Caenorhabditis elegans: one gene and its partners. The protein of the gene in region 3 purifies or fractionates together with the protein of the main gene of each other region. This does not show direct contact. Each region holds a gene or a part of one and is shown on either strand. Other genes may lie near its edges.

Region 1 (6,282 bases), on a different chromosome or scaffold from region 3:
TGAAATGCAGAACTCGTATTGTGTGACGTCACTGACCCATTGCTTTCGCATTGTGTCACCATTGCTGGAAAACAAACATGTTTTTTTAAAATTCAATTTTGAAAGAATGCTTTCAAATTTTAACTGCACCTGATTGAGATATTTTACGCCTTTTCCAAAAATCAGAATGTTTCCGCTGCTCATGCTTCATGGTTAATTAAAATGATTTTTAAATTGAAGTATTAGATATATGAGGTACACAGTTTGACAATTCTGTACTAATAGTGTTTCCAGGAAAAATTGGAAAATACGGAAAACCGGTTCACATAAATGTGCAAATTAATATAACACAATGCCCAAGGGTCATTTCAAAACAAACAAGTATTATTGCTTCCTTTATTATAAAATATGTTAACAATGAATATTGTCACCTGCTGTATCATGATGCGCAGTTGACACCAGTAAATAGTTTTTCAGAATTTTCCAAAATTTCCGTAAAATTTTAGTAACTGTGTGAAGGACCATCAAACTAGAATTTCAAAATAGTAACATTGAACGAGATTCCTTTAAGACTCCCATCTCATTTGCAGACACATGGTGCTCATTGGGGGTTACAAAAGGCGTACGTGAATTCGGAAAGAATAAATTTACTAAAGCCATTTAAGAACCTTGTATCACAATCCAATTGGTTGTGTGGGCGTACATGTCCTTTCTCAGGTTTACATAGAAAAGGAACGGGGGACCAGTGTTCTTGCTAGTGGAATTTGAGTAGTAGACGCGTATATCGGACGCTGCGAAACATATACTCAACGTTTTACAAACGCCTAGACAAATTGCAGAAAATAGGCATAGGTGCGGCAGGTCTTAAGGAGGCGTCAGGGGAGGCGTCAGGTGGTGTATTCTCACAAAATACTCACAAACAAGAACGTTCCACTTTATCACTTTCAAAGTTGAATTCATATTTTTCAAAACTAAGTTTTTTCACTCACTTTTTTCAAACGAACATGACGATTCGAGGAGGTGTTGATTCACACTGGGCTTGATATTGTTAATCCTAAGTTGAGATCCTGTATCCTCCACTGTTATCACCGGCCCATGGTGATTAGGAATCCCTCGCGCTGAAAATAAAATTACACATTTTACGCGGTTGAACTACGTATACATCAATTGCGCTTTATTGTCATACGTAAATTTAACTTACAGCAGTCTAGATCATTATCATCGTCAAACGAACTTTGATGAACTAACATTACTACAGAATAAGGAGCATTTGAAGAAATGAGTGTTTTGAAGTGTATAGTCAAACGTATTTTATACCTCCTTATGATTGTAGCTGTATTAGGATTTTGTTGCTACCGTACTAGCGACTCGTAAGTACAATGCCCCCTTTTTTCGTCCCCAACCCCATCACTCACCAGAATGCGAGTCCAACGACTCCCTGCTATAGTCAATTCTTGTGTAAGCAGGCGGAAGGGATCCCAGCTTTTTTCGAGCTGATAGAAGGTTTTTGAACTGTTGACGGCTTCCGTTTAACCTAAGAAAGTCAGCTGACACCTGCAAAACGAGATATGAATTTGCTCAGTAATCTCCGATTGATTCATGATCGTACTCACTATAATTGGTTACTATGAATGACATTCAATTTTGAAAAATCAAAAAATCATAGCACCAGTTTTTTTAAAATATACTTGAAACGGGACTAAATAAAACACTGAGGTTCTGGATGTCTCACAATTTCCAGCTAGAGATGAAGTATCGTCAATGGAAATTTCTTATTTCACCTCTAAAAAAAAGTTTTCTAGAATTTATACACATATGAATTGCATTTCAATAGTTTGTATTTTGAGATTCTAGGTCATCCAAAATCCAAAGTTCAGAAAAATTGACAACTTACTAAAACTACGACTGAAATTATCGGATAATCCAAAACTTTTTGGAGTGTTAAATTATGATACTTTGCCATGTTAGACTATTATAAATGTGTTTAGACTAAGCCCCCATCGATGATACTCCCCCATTAATGTTCACGCAAAATGCAAAATTTTTCAAGTCTTACAGTATTCAAACTTAACACAAATATAAACATTTTTGAAAATACATACAACTTGTTTTGCTCGATTCCCAAAACGTTTCTGATAGTGAACAAAAAATAAAAATCTTTTGAAAATTTGCACTACATATGATGTTTGAATTAGGAGAGGTTTCAAAGATTTTCCCCACCGCAATACTTTGATACTCAACCAAAAAAATGAAACAAACTCAAATGTTCATAAAGTGCACTATCCATTTTTATTTTCATTCTCAATTATCTAACCGGAAATTGAAAACTTTATAACTCAGACTATCATGTTTCAACAACCAAATCGAACAACCAAAAAAAAGTGTACCTTCACGAGAGCATTTGATTCACTTGCAGTAAGCCCATGTTGTGCACTGCTAAAGTCAAAACTCTTTCCGACATAACCGTTGCTATCAAATGAAGGCCTGGGTGTTCGGTAGTCTTCTTGCTCCACAGACGGAGCAGATGCAATTGTTGGACCCTAAATAAGAGAATAGAATAAATAAATATACTTCTAAGTAAGATTTCGTGTTTTACCGGAGAGCTAACAACCGAGTGGCGATGCATTATATAGCTTATAATATGTATAGATTTACTGATAAAATTTTTTTATCCAGGTGAATAATTTTTTGATTCGGTTGTTATGAGACTCGGGTAGCCTAAACTATTTATCCTCAAAATTGGCTCATACATCAGAAGTCTATATTTTTATTGCCACGCCCATTTTTCTCAAATTGCATTTCTATTTTCGCTGCGTTTTGTTTTGACATCATGAAAAAACGTTTGTAGTCCATTTTGTCGGTCACATGCAAAAACAAAATGGCAGTAAGTAACCTATTTTTGGGTGTCAGAAAGAGAAAATTTGAATTCAAATTCGAGTAGTTTGCACTCGGGTTCTTACATTATTAAAAACCACATTTTAATACAAAAAGAAAACGTTCTCACAAGACTTCGATTCCGGTAACTCCGTCGCTTATCGCTGAGAAATCGCCTTGCATGAAGAGTATCACCTGCTTGCAATGCTGAAAATGACGAATAATTTAATTAAAGAAACCTTGAAAAGAGACATTGATATATTAATTCTAAAGCACTGCAAAATAATCAGAATAATTCACCATTCTGCGTAAAAGTTAATTTCTGTGTAAAAATGATTAACAACAGAATGAGCAAAAGACAACGTTGACTAATATGATTTATTCAACGGGAAAAAACGCGGGGAAAAAATTCAATAATCAAAGATTATTACTTCATTTTTTAGACTTTTGGAAATTATATTAGATCGATCTGGCATCTGTGAAATTTTGGTTATAAATTCTATTTTAGTACGAAATTATTTTTGGAGAGTTACAAAAAAGTTGATGAAATAGAAAATTGTGGTATTTTCAAATTTAGAAAAACTTATAAAAAAACCAAATAGACAAAATAAAAACTTAGTTGATGTGAAATTATTTTCAAACTTATGAAAATGTTCGAAATTAATTTTTTAGATTTTAATGGAAATTTTTTATTCCGCTGGGTTGATGTGGATTACGTTATAAAACTCACAAATTAATAGAAATAGCCTAATTGGGCATTTAGCATATTCAAAAAATTATTAAAACATTAAATTTACGTTTTGATAGTTGATTTCCTATGCAAAAGAGCATAAACATTAAACGAAAACAATTATATTTTATCTAAAAATAAATTTGTTATAATACATTGAACCGTCGTAACTTTTTTTTTGTTCTATTTAAAAATGTATCCAATCGTTTTTCAATTTGTTAGGAATGTTTACTGATCTACCTGTCTATAGTACTCAAATACTAAAATTAGGTATCAAAACCATGGATTCGTTGCAAACAAATTGTCAAAACTTTATAAACTTTTCTCATAAAACACTCACTTCCCAGACTCGGCCGATGTTTTGTTACATTGCCATAAACCGTAGTTGCATGTGTATGTAGGGGAAAATATGGTTGCACTGTGCATTTGTAGGTATGTGTTTCCGGATGACAGTGCAGTCGTGAGTTGGGCCGTTCCATGACTATATCAGTACTACCTGTGATAACATCAGAGAACGAGAGATCCGGCTGAAAAACATCAGATTTAGTGGTGGTGAGAGAGAGAATGTGTGGTTGGCAAAGGAGTTGAAAGGAATTGGAAAAAGGTGTGCTGCTGTTTATATGAAGCCAAGAGTGGGCTGACTACTGGTTCAGTGTTTTTCTCCTTATTTTTCCACTCATTTTCTGATACAGCTGGTGGTGGTAACATGTAAGAGGAGGAGAATGAGAGGAATATAAAGAACAAAGCTCAAACAGCAATGCACATTTAGCAAGTGTATAAGAATTAGGCTGGCTTCGAGCCAGGGGACCACGAGACAAATAAAATAAAATAAAATGAAAATAAGAAGGGAAAAAATTTGGTGGACGACGACGACGACAAAAGTCTCATCTGAATCGAGTATAAACTAAAGAGGAGTGGCGGCGCCGCTCGTGTGAGATTGAGATTTCATCGGAATGCACAAGAAATGAGAATAGAGTATGGAAAAAGAAAGGAGAGAAGTGATCAAATTACGATTACCTCCATTTGCATAGTTGATAAGTCTATGCTGTGAGAGCCGTGTCCTTTGTGTTGTTCTATCCCGATCAGCGTCTGGAAAAAAAGTAAAAGTCGACGGGATGATTTCAAGGAACATATTGATATACTTGAAACAAGTTGGAACAATTTCCATCAATAAGAAAAAAAAACAAACAAACAAAAAATGTATATTTAAAGTGCGAAGACAAAAAAAATGGTATCAGTAAGCTATATGTGATTCATGGGGCTTGTGATATGTGCACTTTTTTAAGATCTCTGATTAATTAGAACAAGGTCATTATGACAACAATGTGCACTGGCATTCAAGCAAAACCTACGTTATCACAAAGGCATGTTCATCGGAATGCATGTGAGACAACGTACAATTCTGAGTATATAAATTCGCGGCAAATTATTTGCGGTTTTTAGGAATTTGGAAACTTGAAATTGTTTTTTGTCAGAACATATTCAAATAAATGTGTTGTGTTGTCCTGTACATAAGATGTCTTATATATAGTTTGATCTATGCGGCGTCTGCCTGGATAGTGTAATCTACTACATTCTTTCCGGTTGCTCTGTTGTCCTTATCTCCCTGTGTAGGGGGTGATTGTAAATGAGAGTCTTTCTAGTCCCAATGCCTATATTTGCCTCTCCTTATATTACCTTCATTTAAAAAAAAAGATATTATTATCAATAAATGTCAGGAGACATTTTTTGAATTTGAATCAATATTTAGAAAAAACCCTTTAGAAAATAATAAAACGCTCCGAAAACTATTGAATTTTTGAAATTTTCTTTTTTTTTGGCGTTTTCGCAAATTTTCAGTAACAAATTCTTTAAAAAATCTATTTTTTTGCCAATTTTCAATACTTTGAAAATATTTTCACAGTTTTTTGAAGTGTTTTACTATGATATTTTTCACCATAGAAGGAGATTCAAACAACTGTTCAATTTTTATTTTTCTAAAGAGATTTTAACTAGAGGCATGTTTCAAAAAAATTATCGAAAAATTACATAAAAAGTTTAGTAATCCGATAGGTGAACTTGTTGAACTAAGTAAAATCGAATGAATAAGTTTTGAGTATTCCCTAAAAGTAATTTGAAACTTGACTTGGACACACACCTGAAAACGTTTTTGTTCCCGAATAGCGTCATCTCCGACTTGGAAAAAAATTGAGGTACCCTTTGGAAAGAAGCGAGAAACTTTTACTCTGAATGAATGAATCACAAAATCTAAAAAATCTAAAACCAAACGTATTTTTTTTATTTCAAAGCGTTCCAAAGAGGCAAAAAAGAGTAAAAAGTAGTTGCTACTAAAATAGCACAAGTGAGCAGAATAAAAATCGAAAATCGGTGTGTTCATTCAAAAAAAGAAAGAGATGGGAAAAAGACATCAATTGGTGAAAAAAAAAATCAAACAATCTGAAAAAATAAAACGGACGTGGAAACTTAAGGATTTGAAAATTACAGGCTTGTTGATAATATACCCCTTCCGGACTTAGATCCAAGAAAAATAAAACAAGGGATTCAAAGCATTCATAAAAGAAAAACATAGTTTCTGGAATTAAAATAAAATTTGGAATACTGGGTAACAAATTTGAATTTGTTTTTAAGGGGGTACTAGGAAGGCAAAGAATTTAACCCAGTATGTTTGACTGAAATAAAACACAACATCACAAAATTAG
Region 2 (6,178 bases), on a different chromosome or scaffold from region 3:
TCAGTCAACGTTTTGGAAAGTTTTTTAATTTTTTTAAATGTCTCCTTCCTTCAAATAATTTCTCCAAAAACCCATATTTCATGAGACTTATAATTTTAATTATTATTTTTCTGCTTTCGCTCAAAACATCATTATCGTCCCATCCCATATTCCATCCGAAAATAATAATCAAAAATTTGAAAAATTCGAAGCCATCTATTTCGAGCGCCTTCCAATTTTTTCTTTCTTCTCCACTTTTCCCATTCCAAATCAAAAATGCATGCGTACCTTTTTAGGCATCACAGACTGAATCATATGATCTTTAAACTGTGTCTCCAACTCTAGATCCTTTCTTGCCAACATCGATTGTCCCACTTTCAGAAACGTTTTCCTCTGTCGCACTTGAGTTAAAATGAACAAATGGACACCGAGTAAATGGACACCAGCGTGAAGGACAAGCTTAATGTATCCGGCCTCTTCAAGACCAATTTTGTTCTTGTTGAGAATCTCAAATAGGATTGAGTAGATTATTCCGATGAGTATACATAAATAGAGTGGCAGTGGAATGACTGTGTAGATCAGGAGAACGACCTGGAATAATAAGGAATTGAGTGATAATGATATCAGAGTACTATGTTCTGGAAACTCGGTGGCAGCTTGTTGACAACCGTCTGCACCTTTTTGTCAAACGTTCACCATTTTTAACAAATCTTTCAATAATTTGCAATTTTTGTGAAACTGTGCAATTTCTCGAGAATCTTCGGAAACTTCTAAAAAACAATTTGCAACTATTTGGCAAACTTTTGAATTTTTCCGGCAAACATTTGCATAACTTTAAATAGCTTTTGCAATTTTTGGCAAACTTATGCAAACTACTGAAAAGGTTTGAATCTTTTTTGGCAGTCTTTCGAAAATTATTGGCTGGTTTTTGCTACTTTTTTGCAAACTTTTGCAACAAATATTTCTATCCAATACAGCTGTTTTTTTTCACACTGGGTCTTGAATGTCGGATGTACTTTTAAAAAAATTCCCCCCCAGATTCCTACCTGAAAACTTGTGGCAAGACTTGCAACTGGAGTCATAAACGCAGCTTGATTCTCTGCGGAGAAGATGAGCAACGTGACAAGGCATATCAAAAAAGTGCATAGAAATGAGGTTGGCATGTAGAACCTGAACATTCAACACATACAGTATCATTTTCTAACAGAACGTGTTCCGACAGTTTTCCGAGTTTACAGCCCCCGAAATAAAGAAAAAGAAGTGGACATTAAATGCAAACCTTTGGTATTGAGCGGCGCACGCCGTGAAGGCAAACATCGCGAAAATAATGGCACAGAGGCATAGTGAAACGATCTGAAATTTTTGGTTATGGATATTCTTGTGATCCAGACACCAATCGATATTTTAGAATTTAAATTTGCAGGAGAATTTGATATTTTTTTGAGATTTTTTTCAGTCCGCCACTTTACTTCTAGGGCACATAGCTTGGTTCTTTTGGAAGTTATTAATAAATGATCAAATACGAAATTATAGAAAAACATATGTATAGCAAATATTTTTTCAGTTCAAAGTTTTTATTAAATTTAAGACAACTGGGATACAAGCCGCCAAAATTATTTGTTCTTGATTCAACCTCTCGGTACTTTCTTTGCGCAAGAACAACGTCTAAATTGACTTCTGTCTCATCTCAATCATCTTCCGAAAATAAGAGTCTGTCACATTGTTATGCGTGCCTTTCCCCGTGAAATTGGTTTTTGGCACATCCGCACCGTTGTGCTCCTCACAACTCATGGAGCGTTCTCTCCTGGCGCCCGAGCAAATGGAGGGAGCACACGCATCTCACAACATTGCAGATTTACAAAGGGGGCCCTTCTCTCTTTCTCGTTCTATCTCACTTTATCTCACTTTTTTCGGTTTTCTGTTTTTTTTTTTTTTTTTTTTTTTTTCAACAATTGCTTTTCTGTTTTGTTGTCTCTATCCCTATTTCACCCTTTCTTTCTTTTTTCTCTCTATATCACTGAGCTCATGAAAATTGACAGCGAGAAGGAGAAGGAGGAGGAAGTGGAAACGATGAAGCCAACTTATTTTTAGAACGGGAAAGGATTGAGCCTAAACACAAAGATGGGTGTGACTGTTTTTCGAAGTTTCAGAAGATTTTTCAAATTTCCCAGAGCCCGGGCTAATACAGGATGGTATGAGAACTTCGGCAGTAGGCACGAATGTAGACATGAAGTAGATGAAGGCCACCTTGAAAGGCTACCGTACCCACTCAATCTTGAGAGCCTAGCTTTAGGCGTCCAAGCTGAAGCCTAAGTCTACGCCATCGCCTAAGCCTAAGTCTAAGAAAAACTATTTGATACAGTTATTAAAACAAAGGAATTCGCTCTGAAACAAATCAAAATAAACTTATCTCCCCTCACCTCTCCGAAATGAGAAATTTTCGCAGTTTTCCGTAATGTTTGCTTAAAACCATTTGCATTATACCTATATATATACTATCTATACATATTTATTTGTCCGACCAGTCGTCCCAAACCGCGTGCGCGGTATACAATGGAGAGAGGGGTGTCCGAGTGAGAAGAAATCGAATGAAGAAATAATAATAAAAAATAGTTGGACGGACGGAAGAGAAATGGGAAAGAAAAGTAAATGTGTTCAGAGAAAGTTCTTGAATTTTTGGTTGAGAATGAATTGAGGTAAAGTCAAAAACAACATGTAATACACTTGAACTTTGTGATTTGAGGTTTTTGGCAGAAAAACACAGTTCTAAAAAACTATTAAAGTGTTATTTGAGAGACAAAAAATTTAGCTCTCCAAAGTTTCGTCAGATGACCGAAAAACCAAAATTGATGGCTGATTTTTTCAATTTTTTAACAGTTTACTCTGAGCCTAAAACTGCTGGGTCTGAAATAAATCATAGCCTAAAAATAACGATAAAATTTGCCTTCTAAAAAGTCCGGGTGTGTAGTCCTTATGTAGTGGGCGGTTTTTTTTTTCACATTTTTCCTGTTTTTCAGCTCCAAATTTTTTTGGGAAATTCATTACTTTATTTTTTGAAATATATCAGTTGACAGCTTTACCATGGGAATTTTTTTCATTTTTAATTTAATTAAAAAATACAGCCGCGAGATTGCCAAGATAGCTCGCAAACCACACCAGATTTTTTTTCTCAAAAAGTGGGTGTGTCCAACCGATCAGCAGAGTTTCCTTTAACCAATAGCCGAGCTAGAACCCTCTTTCAAACTTTCAAACTTTCCAGAACTTTTTATTGTGGAAACTTTAACATTCGTTTTTTATGTCGAGAATTATAATTCGATAATTGAAAATTTTACATCATTTCCACTTTTGCAAAGATCCTATACAAAAAAGTTACAGTAGATGAGAAAATCGGAAGGAAGGAACCATAGAAAATGCAAATGACCTCCTTGAATTTTTTACGGAGCTCCACGATTTGAATAATTCACACAAGCCGGGCCGAGAATTTTTTGTTTTGATATTTTTTTAGCAATGAATTCTAGATTTTTTTCCAAAAAAAAAACAAATAAAAACTCACCCAATGCTGAATAAAAGTTCTATCGAATAAAGCTAAATAAAGTGTCCAAGCGGCAATTACAACGGCAATATATATTAATCCAGAACGAAATCGATCTCTTAACTGACTGAAACTACACTTCCAATATTGAGCTTCTAGTGTTGCAGATCGAAATTGAGGATTCCACCATCTAGCAGATGCTCTCTCAAATAATGGAACACGTCTTGGGGAACTACTGTGTGCACGAACTGATGGTCCACATGAACCACCGAGAGCCGGTGTTCGTTCACCGACATCGTCGTCCATGAATCCAGAAGACAAGAAGAATCTTCAGAATAGAAGACGTTGAAAAATGAAAAGGAAGAAGATGAGGCAAGTAGAGGAGAGCGAGTAGTAGTTGTTCCCCCTCCTTCGCCTCCTACTCCCCCCAACTGCTTACTCTTTTTCTCTCGTTCACTCTCTTCCAATCTCTCACTTACTTTTGAAAGCCTTTTCAGAGAAAAAGAGAGTAAAAGAAAGTGCGCAGAGAGCTTTGGAATGAGAGAGGCGCAGAGTTTGAAACGAAAAGCTGCGCGCTCGACTGGCCCCAGGGTGGGGCGGGTCCAAGAGTGTGGAAGAGAGAGAGAGAGGATGGAGAATAGACATTGAGCCTCAATCTTTCGATTATTGTGCTCATGGATTCGGGGGATCCCATGGGATTTGATAAGTATGTCGGAAACAGCAAATGAATGAATAATTAGCGATGGAAATTAGGACTTCAACTAATGAAAAATGGTCAGCAAGTGAATATCTTGGGGGTTTTTCGGATATGATGATCAGCAGGTTCAGGTTATCAAAGTAATGCAGTTTAAGTGAACCTTCACTGTAGGCACTTACCCCCTAGGCATCTGGTAGGGCGTATATCTAGAATTGAAACACTGATTCAAGCGAAACTTTTTCAACTACCGTACTCGGGAGTACTGTAGTACCTCAATCTTTCTCGCCAAATTTCTCCTGAAATTACAGAACTTATGAATTGATTTTTCCTCGAAAAAATCTACGTATATATTTGAAATCGGGAAATAAGGAAAAAAAACTTTTAAAAAGCTTCTATCATACTCGCTGGTACGGTATTTGATAAAGTTTTTCTTCGTGGTAAGATTTTTGTTGATGAAAGAATGAGTCTGTGAAGAATAAACCTTCAAAATTGAACATGGTAGTTGAATGAAAATTAATCTTTTATGCCTAAATAATTTCACATAGCTATATAGCTATTACATTTTTCGCAACAATTCTGAATACCCCGGTTATCGTATTTCGTCGTCTTGGATGCTTGCTAAATGAACCAATTTGTTTACCTATCACGCAATAAAGATGAATCGAAATCACTTTTCGCAATATCGCTTTAAAATGAAACATATAATTCCTAAAATACGCGAAACTCGGGAAAGCGATATTTTTTAAACGACCGCGTTTTTCTATCTCTACCCGCCTCTTGCAATCCCACACTCTCTCGCCTAGCATCACAATGGGGCGCAGTTGCATAAATCGCTTCGCGTTCAAATTCAGAAAATCGTCTCATTTTTATTTTTGTCCTCGACCCGAATGGCCGGTTTCCTTCTTTCTCCGTTTTCTTTATTGATTAATTTTCGCTCGTTTGGCCTAAAAACCGCGTAAAATCCGTCATTTTTCACCTATCTGGCTAATTTTTTTTGCACAAAATAAGATTTTTCAGTTTTCTTTCACTTTTAAACCTTTTCCGCACTGTGAGCTGTTTGCAATTTTCTTAATTTTGCTCTTTGTGCTTTTCGAAATTTTTGTATTATGAAATTTCGTTCTTCCCAAGTGAAATTAACTGAATTTGTTGCAGGTAATGGATTTTATCGATAATCAAGCCGAAGAATCAGATGCCTCCTCGGGCCATTCTGATGATGAAGAACCACAGTCGAAAAAGATGAAAATGGCAAAGGAAAAATCAAAAAGAAAGAAGAAAATGGTTGCCAGGTAATTATAATTCCGGGGTATTTCTATTTTCATTTGTTCATTTTTAGTTCTGACGAAGATGAAGACGACGATGACGATGAAGAGGAAAACCGTAAAGAAATGCAGGGATTCATTGCAGATGATGACGATGAAGAAGAGGACGCAAAATCGGAGAAGTCAGAAAAATCTCGGCACTCGGGAGAAGATGAGCTCGACGATGAAGATCTTGATTTGATCAATGAGAATTATGATATTCGAGAGACGAAAAAACAAAATCGAGTTCAATTGGGTGATTCCAGTGATGAAGATGAGCCGATACGAGTGAGTAATTTCGATTTTTTTCAATTGCCACTAAAATTCATAATAATAATAATAATCAAATTCGGAATTTCAGAGACCCAACCACGAAGATGATGATTTGCTTTCCGAACGAGGAAGTGACGATGGAGACAGGCGAAAAGATCGTGGTCGTGGAGATCGCGGTGGTTACGGATCAGAGTCTGAAAGAAGTGAGGATGACTTTATTGAGGACGATGGAGATGCGCCACGAAGACATCGGAAACGTCATCGTGGAGACGAAAATCTCCCAGAAGGCGCTGAAGATGACGCCCGTGATGTATTCGGAGTGGAAGACTTCAATTTGGACGAGTTTTACGACGATGATGATGGCGAGGATGGTCTAGAAGACGAAGAGGAGGAAATAAT
Region 3 (5,805 bases):
TCGTTTATTCTCTAAATATTACTTTTCCAGGACTCCTCACGGATGACGATGACGAAAATACCAAATGGACTGCACAAAATGTCGACAAATTCTGCAGAAAAGCATTTCCATTGTCGTTTTGTTTTCTGAATCTCATATATTGGTGTTATTATTTATACCAGAATTATTTGGCAAAGGCCGAAGCTCTTGCTCAAATGACGCCACCATCCTGATTTTCGGGTGACTGTTTTTTTAGAAGACATTACGGGAGAATAATTTATGAATAAAGTTGAATTTTGATTGGTTGCAATTAATCTAGAATACACTGTAATATAAATACACGTAGAATTTTTCTTTACTGCTTCTTCTTGCTTCCTCCGCCGAGAATCTTCTTTCTTTGACCGATCATGTAGAAGTAAAGTTGTGGGAATCCGGGAATGTAGCTGAGAGCAGCAATGATGAGCACCCACCAGAAGGAGATTCCCATGTTGAGACGGTTTGGCATCTCGAGGGTAAGGATTTTCTTCTCATCAACTTCATTTAATGAAGCGAACAACGTCAGAAGCTCTCCGGAGACTCCCATTGGGTAGAGAACGTAGAAGAGGGTGTATCTGTAATTAAAATAGTTGAGTTATAGCATTGATCCCCAGAATCTCAAAATACCTGAGGTAGAGAAGGAAATATGGGATTGGTTGTTTCAATACGCTGAGTGCATAGAACGAGTACCGGATGACCTCTGTTACGGACCAGGCAACAAGAAGAAGTGGAACTCCGATACTGAAGCGAGCCTAAAAATTGGTTTAATTTATTCAAGTTTAAGATAAAAAATTCCAACTCACTGTTGAGCACAAGTGGAGGATTGGCCAGACAAGGACGACGCGAGATGTTACTTGCATTGCGGTAGTTCCAACTGGTGAACGAACAAGTCCGACAATTGCGTGAATGACCTGAATATGATAATTTCTTTAAAAGTTTTTCAATTTCAACAAAGCTAACCTCGAGAATAGCTGCGGTTTGGAAGATTTTAAGCTCAAATTCCACCGATTCGTAAAGTTGTGGCCATGTCAAGCCATTAGCGAGTCCAAGAACTGTTTTCACAAGAATTGCAGACCATCTGAAATTAATTTAAATTATTAAAATTATAGTGAACTTCTTTCAGAAAAAAAAACGTACCCTAAAATTTGTAACACGTTGTACGCAACCAGATACGTCTGAACGCTCATTGTTACCCTGCAAAAATAAGGATTTTAGGCAATGCAAAGAAAAGAAAATGAGAAAAGTATATCACGCCACACGAAAAAAAAGATGAAAGGGTAGAATGGAGTGATGTACAACAGAAACGTTATCAGTCAACTTGCGGGGAGTTTGAAGAAACATTTAGCGAAAACATAAAATGGGACATTTTATGTAATGTAAAACATTGGTAAAATTCGAAAGTTTAATTGAAAATATATAAATCTTCATACGATATCTTGGTTGATACAGGAAAAATGTAAATTTCTTAGTTTTTCAGAAAAATTATGAGAGCGAGGTTATTTATTTTTAATAAAAATTGAAGACTTCAGTTTTTTAATTGGAAATTAATCAAAAAATCTAGAAATAAATCACTTAAATTAAGAAAATGAAAGAAAATAATTTTTAAAATTTTAATTCTTAAGAAACATTTTTCTTGACTACAACACTCCGAAATAACCCTTCGCGCTTTGTTTATCGTAAATCTACATCAGGGCGTTTTTGGGGACAGTTTAAAAAATAATTTTTTGTGGAACAGGAACAGGAACTTGAAGCAGTTTTTTTTGTTCTTGTATTAAAATATTAAATGTAATTTTGAAACTAAAGAAGACTTATTTATATTTAAGCAAACGCAGGAAATTAGTTGTTGCACCATGGACGGAAATTGAAATTTTATGGCTGACTGATCTGAACTCTAGACATTCTGAGTTCTTTTACGTATTACTTTAGTTACTCACAACTATGATTTCTAAACAACGCCAGGATTCTGATGAAAAACCTCTCGAGGAACAGTTAGAGTTACTGCAGGTGGTTTTAATTTTTGAAAATATTATCAAAATTACTTTAAATTTTATGCTTCATTCAGGAAAAAATCGCAGAAATGATAGTAACAAATGAGGCGACCGAGAATCAGTTGACAAATTTAACATTCGAGTCGAACGATGTGATTATTTATCTGAAAAAATTGGTTGAAGAGAAAGACGAAGAGGTAAGAGAGGAATTAGAGAAAAAGGCAAAGAACGAGCATTGTTTCAGACTGCTCGTTTGGAAGAAATGTTGGAAGAACAGAGAAAAGAATCAGATAGAATGTTTAAAATTCATAGAGATAATTCTGAATTAGAAGAGAAGAAATTGAAAGAGCAAATTGAAAAGTTAAAGAGTGAAATGAGCATTATGGGTAGGCCGAAAAGAGAATAGTGAAAGTAGAATTAAAAACTTTTTCAAAATTTTTAGATACACAACTGGGAAACCAGCATCGTATCGAGCTAGAAATCATTGAGATGGGTGCAAAACTGAATTCTCTACAAGGTGTCGTTGATGAACAGGAAGAGACAATTCGAAGAAAAGAAGCAGAAGAAAGAAGCGTCAAAATTGCAGCTATTGAGCAGTAGGTTTCAAAAAATTGTATAAATTGAGGGGTTACGATGGTAGATGGGCTCGCCTTCGTGCCTATTTGTCTGCGTCTGCCTAGAGCCTACACGCCTGAACGGCTCCCTAAAATTTTGCAACAAAAATTATTAGTCAAAAATATATATTTCAGTTCCTAAAACCTACTAAACCAACACAAGTATCGTTTTTTGTGTTCCAAAAAATTGTCTTTAATATCAGGAGTTACCGAGTTTGCCAAGCTATGGAAATTGCATTTTCTGAAAAAAAAATATGCAGACTCATTTAGCATCTGGTTGTTTAAAAGAAATACTTGGTCCTTTTCGACCACTAAAGTCTCGTACTTTTATATTGTCACGTCGCAAATCATCTAGAGAATTAAATGAAAATTCCAGAGCTCGTGCAGATTTGAGCGCCGAGTTCGAGCAAGCTGTTGCTGAGATCCGTATTGAAGCAAGTCTGGAGAGCAAAGGTCACACTCTGATGAATAATCAAGTAATTGAACATTTGGAATTAGAACTTACCAGAAAGAAGCAAGATATGTTACGAATGGAGCAAATGCTCGAGGAGAAACAATCCGAATTGACGCAAGAAATAGGAAAAACTCAGGAACGTGAAGAAGAGAATTTAAAATTACGGAGTCTTTTGGAAAAGAGTGGCCAGACTGTGAGTTATTTCCTTCCTAACTTTTTTATTTAGTCTTTTCCAGACTGAAAAGGCATTGAAAGATAGTAAGAGACGACTGGAAGAATCGGAGAATAAACGAAAAACTACTCTCGAGAAATATATTCAAATTGAGAATGAATTGAATAGTAAAGTAAGTGTTGAAACTTTTGAAATAAATATAGCAAAATAATAACTTATAGCTAGACGAAGCTCTTCAAAACTCAGACAAGTGCCAAAAAATGACGTCACTTCTTGAAGATCAGCTTCTGAGAGAACAACAGACAAGGAAAGCGACAATTGATTCTCACAAGGCTCAAAATAAGAAAATTGAAGAACTCAAAGTATTCTTTAAGGTAATTCAAAACAACTTATTCCATTATTTTTTCTCTTTATTTCAGGATGTTCTATCCAGTGAAGAAGGTCTTCTAGACGAAGTTATAAAAGAGAATCGAAATGCTGTGTTTGCTCATCTTGCTTTGATTATATCTAGAATTCCAATTGTTCGCTAATGTACATATATGAAATTATCAAAAATTGTATGCTGAATATTTATTAAACAATGACTGTTGCTTAGACGGCCTGTGCGTGAACGCGAGCTCTGCGTTGAACGGCAACACGGCGGCGAGCTGCGATACGGTGACGGACAACAACACGGTTGCGGGCAACATTTCGATTGACAGCGACGCGGCGGTTGACGGCCATGACAGAAGAACGGGCTGGGCATGGGCAGTAGGCTGGAATACACGATTATAAATATAACATAATTAACTTTCGAGAAACTCACCAGCATCTCCTCCTGGGGCTCCTGGGTTTCCTGGGGTTCCTGGAACTCCGTCGTTTCCAGAATGTCCTGGTTGTCCGGATGGTCCTGGTGGTCCTTGAGGTCCTGGAGTTCCAGCTCCTCCAGAACGTCCTGGCTGTCCTGGGGCTCCAGCTGGTCCCTGTGGTCCTGGTCTTCCGGATGCTCCTGGAGTTCCACGGCTGCGTTGTCCTCCACGACCTGGATTTCCTGGAGATCCTGGATGTCCTGGCTGTCCTGGTGATCCGGCATCTCCGGCTGGTCCGCGTGGTCCTGGTGGTCCACGTCCACCTGATTGAGCTGGGGCTCCTGGTTGTCCGTTGTTTCCCTTTGGTCCTGGGGCTCCTGGTGGTCCAGCTGGTCCTGGTGCTCCTGCTGGGCAAGTGATACAGAATCCTGGTCTTCCCGTAGCTGGGTTAATTCTTGCTCCAGATCCTGGTTGTCCAGCAATTCCTGGAAGTCCTGCCTCTCCGCGAGCTCCTGGTTGTCCTGGTGGTCCTGGTGGTCCAGCTGGGCATCCACGGGATTGTTCTCCACAGTTGCATTCAGCCTGTCTCTTGTTACGTCCGAGAAGGAATGATGACCCGGATGATGGGCGAGTGGTTGGGATCATTGCTTGCCAAGCGATTTGCTCGTATCCCTTGAACTCCTTGAGCTCCCCGATCTTCTCATCGTAGAATGAGTTGATGTCATTGAAGATCATTCCAACTGTGAAAACACAGACAACAATAGCAATACCAGAGGCGGCCGAAGCCACAGTCACAAGAGTACTGGCGCTCATCTCTGCAGATGAGAGTGAAGTTGTATGTAACGGAACCTACCTTATATACAATTCTACCGGTTACTAGGTAACAGAGGATATAGCATAGAGAATCGAGAGGGTCATCTTGGTTTATCAATCCCTGACTTGTGTCCTATTATTTCAAAACCAGTTTCAACGAGGAAGAAATGTGAAGAAGATGCAAAATGGGCAACGCCTCCAGAAAAAAGTAAACGACGTGAACTTAACGGATAGCATCGCGTTGGAATTTAGAAACGTTGGAAACGCGTAGGAAATTGCTAGAAAAATGTTATTGTATGAAAATTCTAATTATGTGGAAAACTGTTGTGAGTTTTTAAAATAAAGTCTTAAGAAGTTTAGATTGAAAATTGATATTTTCAGACAATAATTATAGCATTATGCATACAAAAAATATATTCAAATGTAATTCCCGAGATGGCATGTTATCGACTTGACCATCAGCCACCAGACTTAACATCAGAAATTCAAACTTCTATCACCCCAAAAACATTTTTAAATATGGTTGAAGAGTTCACAAAAATGGAGGATATTGTTCTGCTGGTAAGCTGCAAACTTATAAATTTTCCTAATTTTTCATACTTTTCAGAAAGCAGGAGAAAAAATAATTACCAATCAGAGTCTTACCACTTTCGAATACTCCAAATTGGGAATCTTTCGAGTATAATTTTTGGTTTTGTTTTCAAAGACCTGTGTTTTTTTTTCAGAAATCAACACTATTCTACATAGCAGTTGCAGTATGTTACCTCTACTGGTTAATCTACACATTTTGCACTTTCAAGTTTTCCCGCTCTCAATTTGATTTGTTAATAGCGGTATAATTTCAAATATGAAGCATATTAGCGCCACACAGGCCACATTTGACAAAAAATTTTCAGCCATATCGAGGATTCTATCTGAAAAGTGTGTTGATGCTATTTTACTTTCTCTTTATTGCGCTCAC

Evidence for each region.
Region 1: the proteins of T15B7.15 (region 3) and kcnl-3 fractionate together in Caenorhabditis elegans (co-fractionation; one large-scale study listed by BioGRID). This does not show direct contact.
Region 2: the proteins of T15B7.15 (region 3) and acy-1 fractionate together in Caenorhabditis elegans (co-fractionation; one large-scale study listed by BioGRID). This does not show direct contact.

The regions. Positions count from the first base shown.
Region 1 is NC_003284.9:5,384,638-5,390,919, reverse strand, and holds the start of kcnl-3 (Small conductance calcium-activated potassium channel-like protein 3), read right to left. Parts: upstream 4,063-6,282; coding exon 3,924-4,062; intron 3,061-3,923; coding exon 2,984-3,060; intron 2,520-2,983; coding exon 2,367-2,519; intron 1,534-2,366; coding exon 1,395-1,533; intron 1,098-1,394; coding exon 969-1,097; intron 613-968; exon of another isoform or gene 557-612; intron 65-556; coding exon 1-64. UniProt on the Caenorhabditis elegans protein: Forms a voltage-independent potassium channel activated by intracellular calcium.
Region 2 is NC_003281.10:4,719,851-4,726,028, reverse strand, and holds the start of acy-1 (adenylate cyclase), read right to left. Parts: upstream 3,935-6,178; 5' UTR 3,818-3,934; coding exon 3,533-3,817; intron 1,333-3,532; coding exon 1,259-1,332; intron 1,150-1,258; coding exon 1,026-1,149; intron 571-1,025; coding exon 268-570; intron 1-267. Other genes in the region: emb-5 (Suppressor of Ty 6 homolog), read left to right, coding at 5,364-5,494, 5,542-5,794, 5,868-6,178.
Region 3 is NC_003283.11:6,834,693-6,840,497, reverse strand, and holds T15B7.15 (GRIP domain-containing protein), read left to right. Parts: upstream 1-1,832; 5' UTR 1,833-1,953; coding exon 1,954-2,019; intron 2,020-2,077; coding exon 2,078-2,200; intron 2,201-2,247; coding exon 2,248-2,389; intron 2,390-2,445; coding exon 2,446-2,599; intron 2,600-2,993; coding exon 2,994-3,264; intron 3,265-3,307; coding exon 3,308-3,415; intron 3,416-3,464; coding exon 3,465-3,617; intron 3,618-3,662; coding exon 3,663-3,773; 3' UTR 3,774-3,803; downstream 3,804-5,805. Other genes in the region: lgc-54 (Ligand-Gated ion Channel), read left to right, coding at 31-212; Very-long-chain (3R)-3-hydroxyacyl-CoA dehydratase hpo-8, read right to left, coding at 335-590, 643-767, 819-926, 976-1,093, 1,153-1,202; col-143 (Nematode cuticle collagen N-terminal domain-containing protein), read right to left, coding at 3,835-3,998, 4,049-4,844; T15B7.14 (Chloride channel CLIC-like protein 1), read left to right, coding at 5,156-5,170, 5,226-5,405, 5,452-5,523, 5,570-5,677, 5,741-5,805.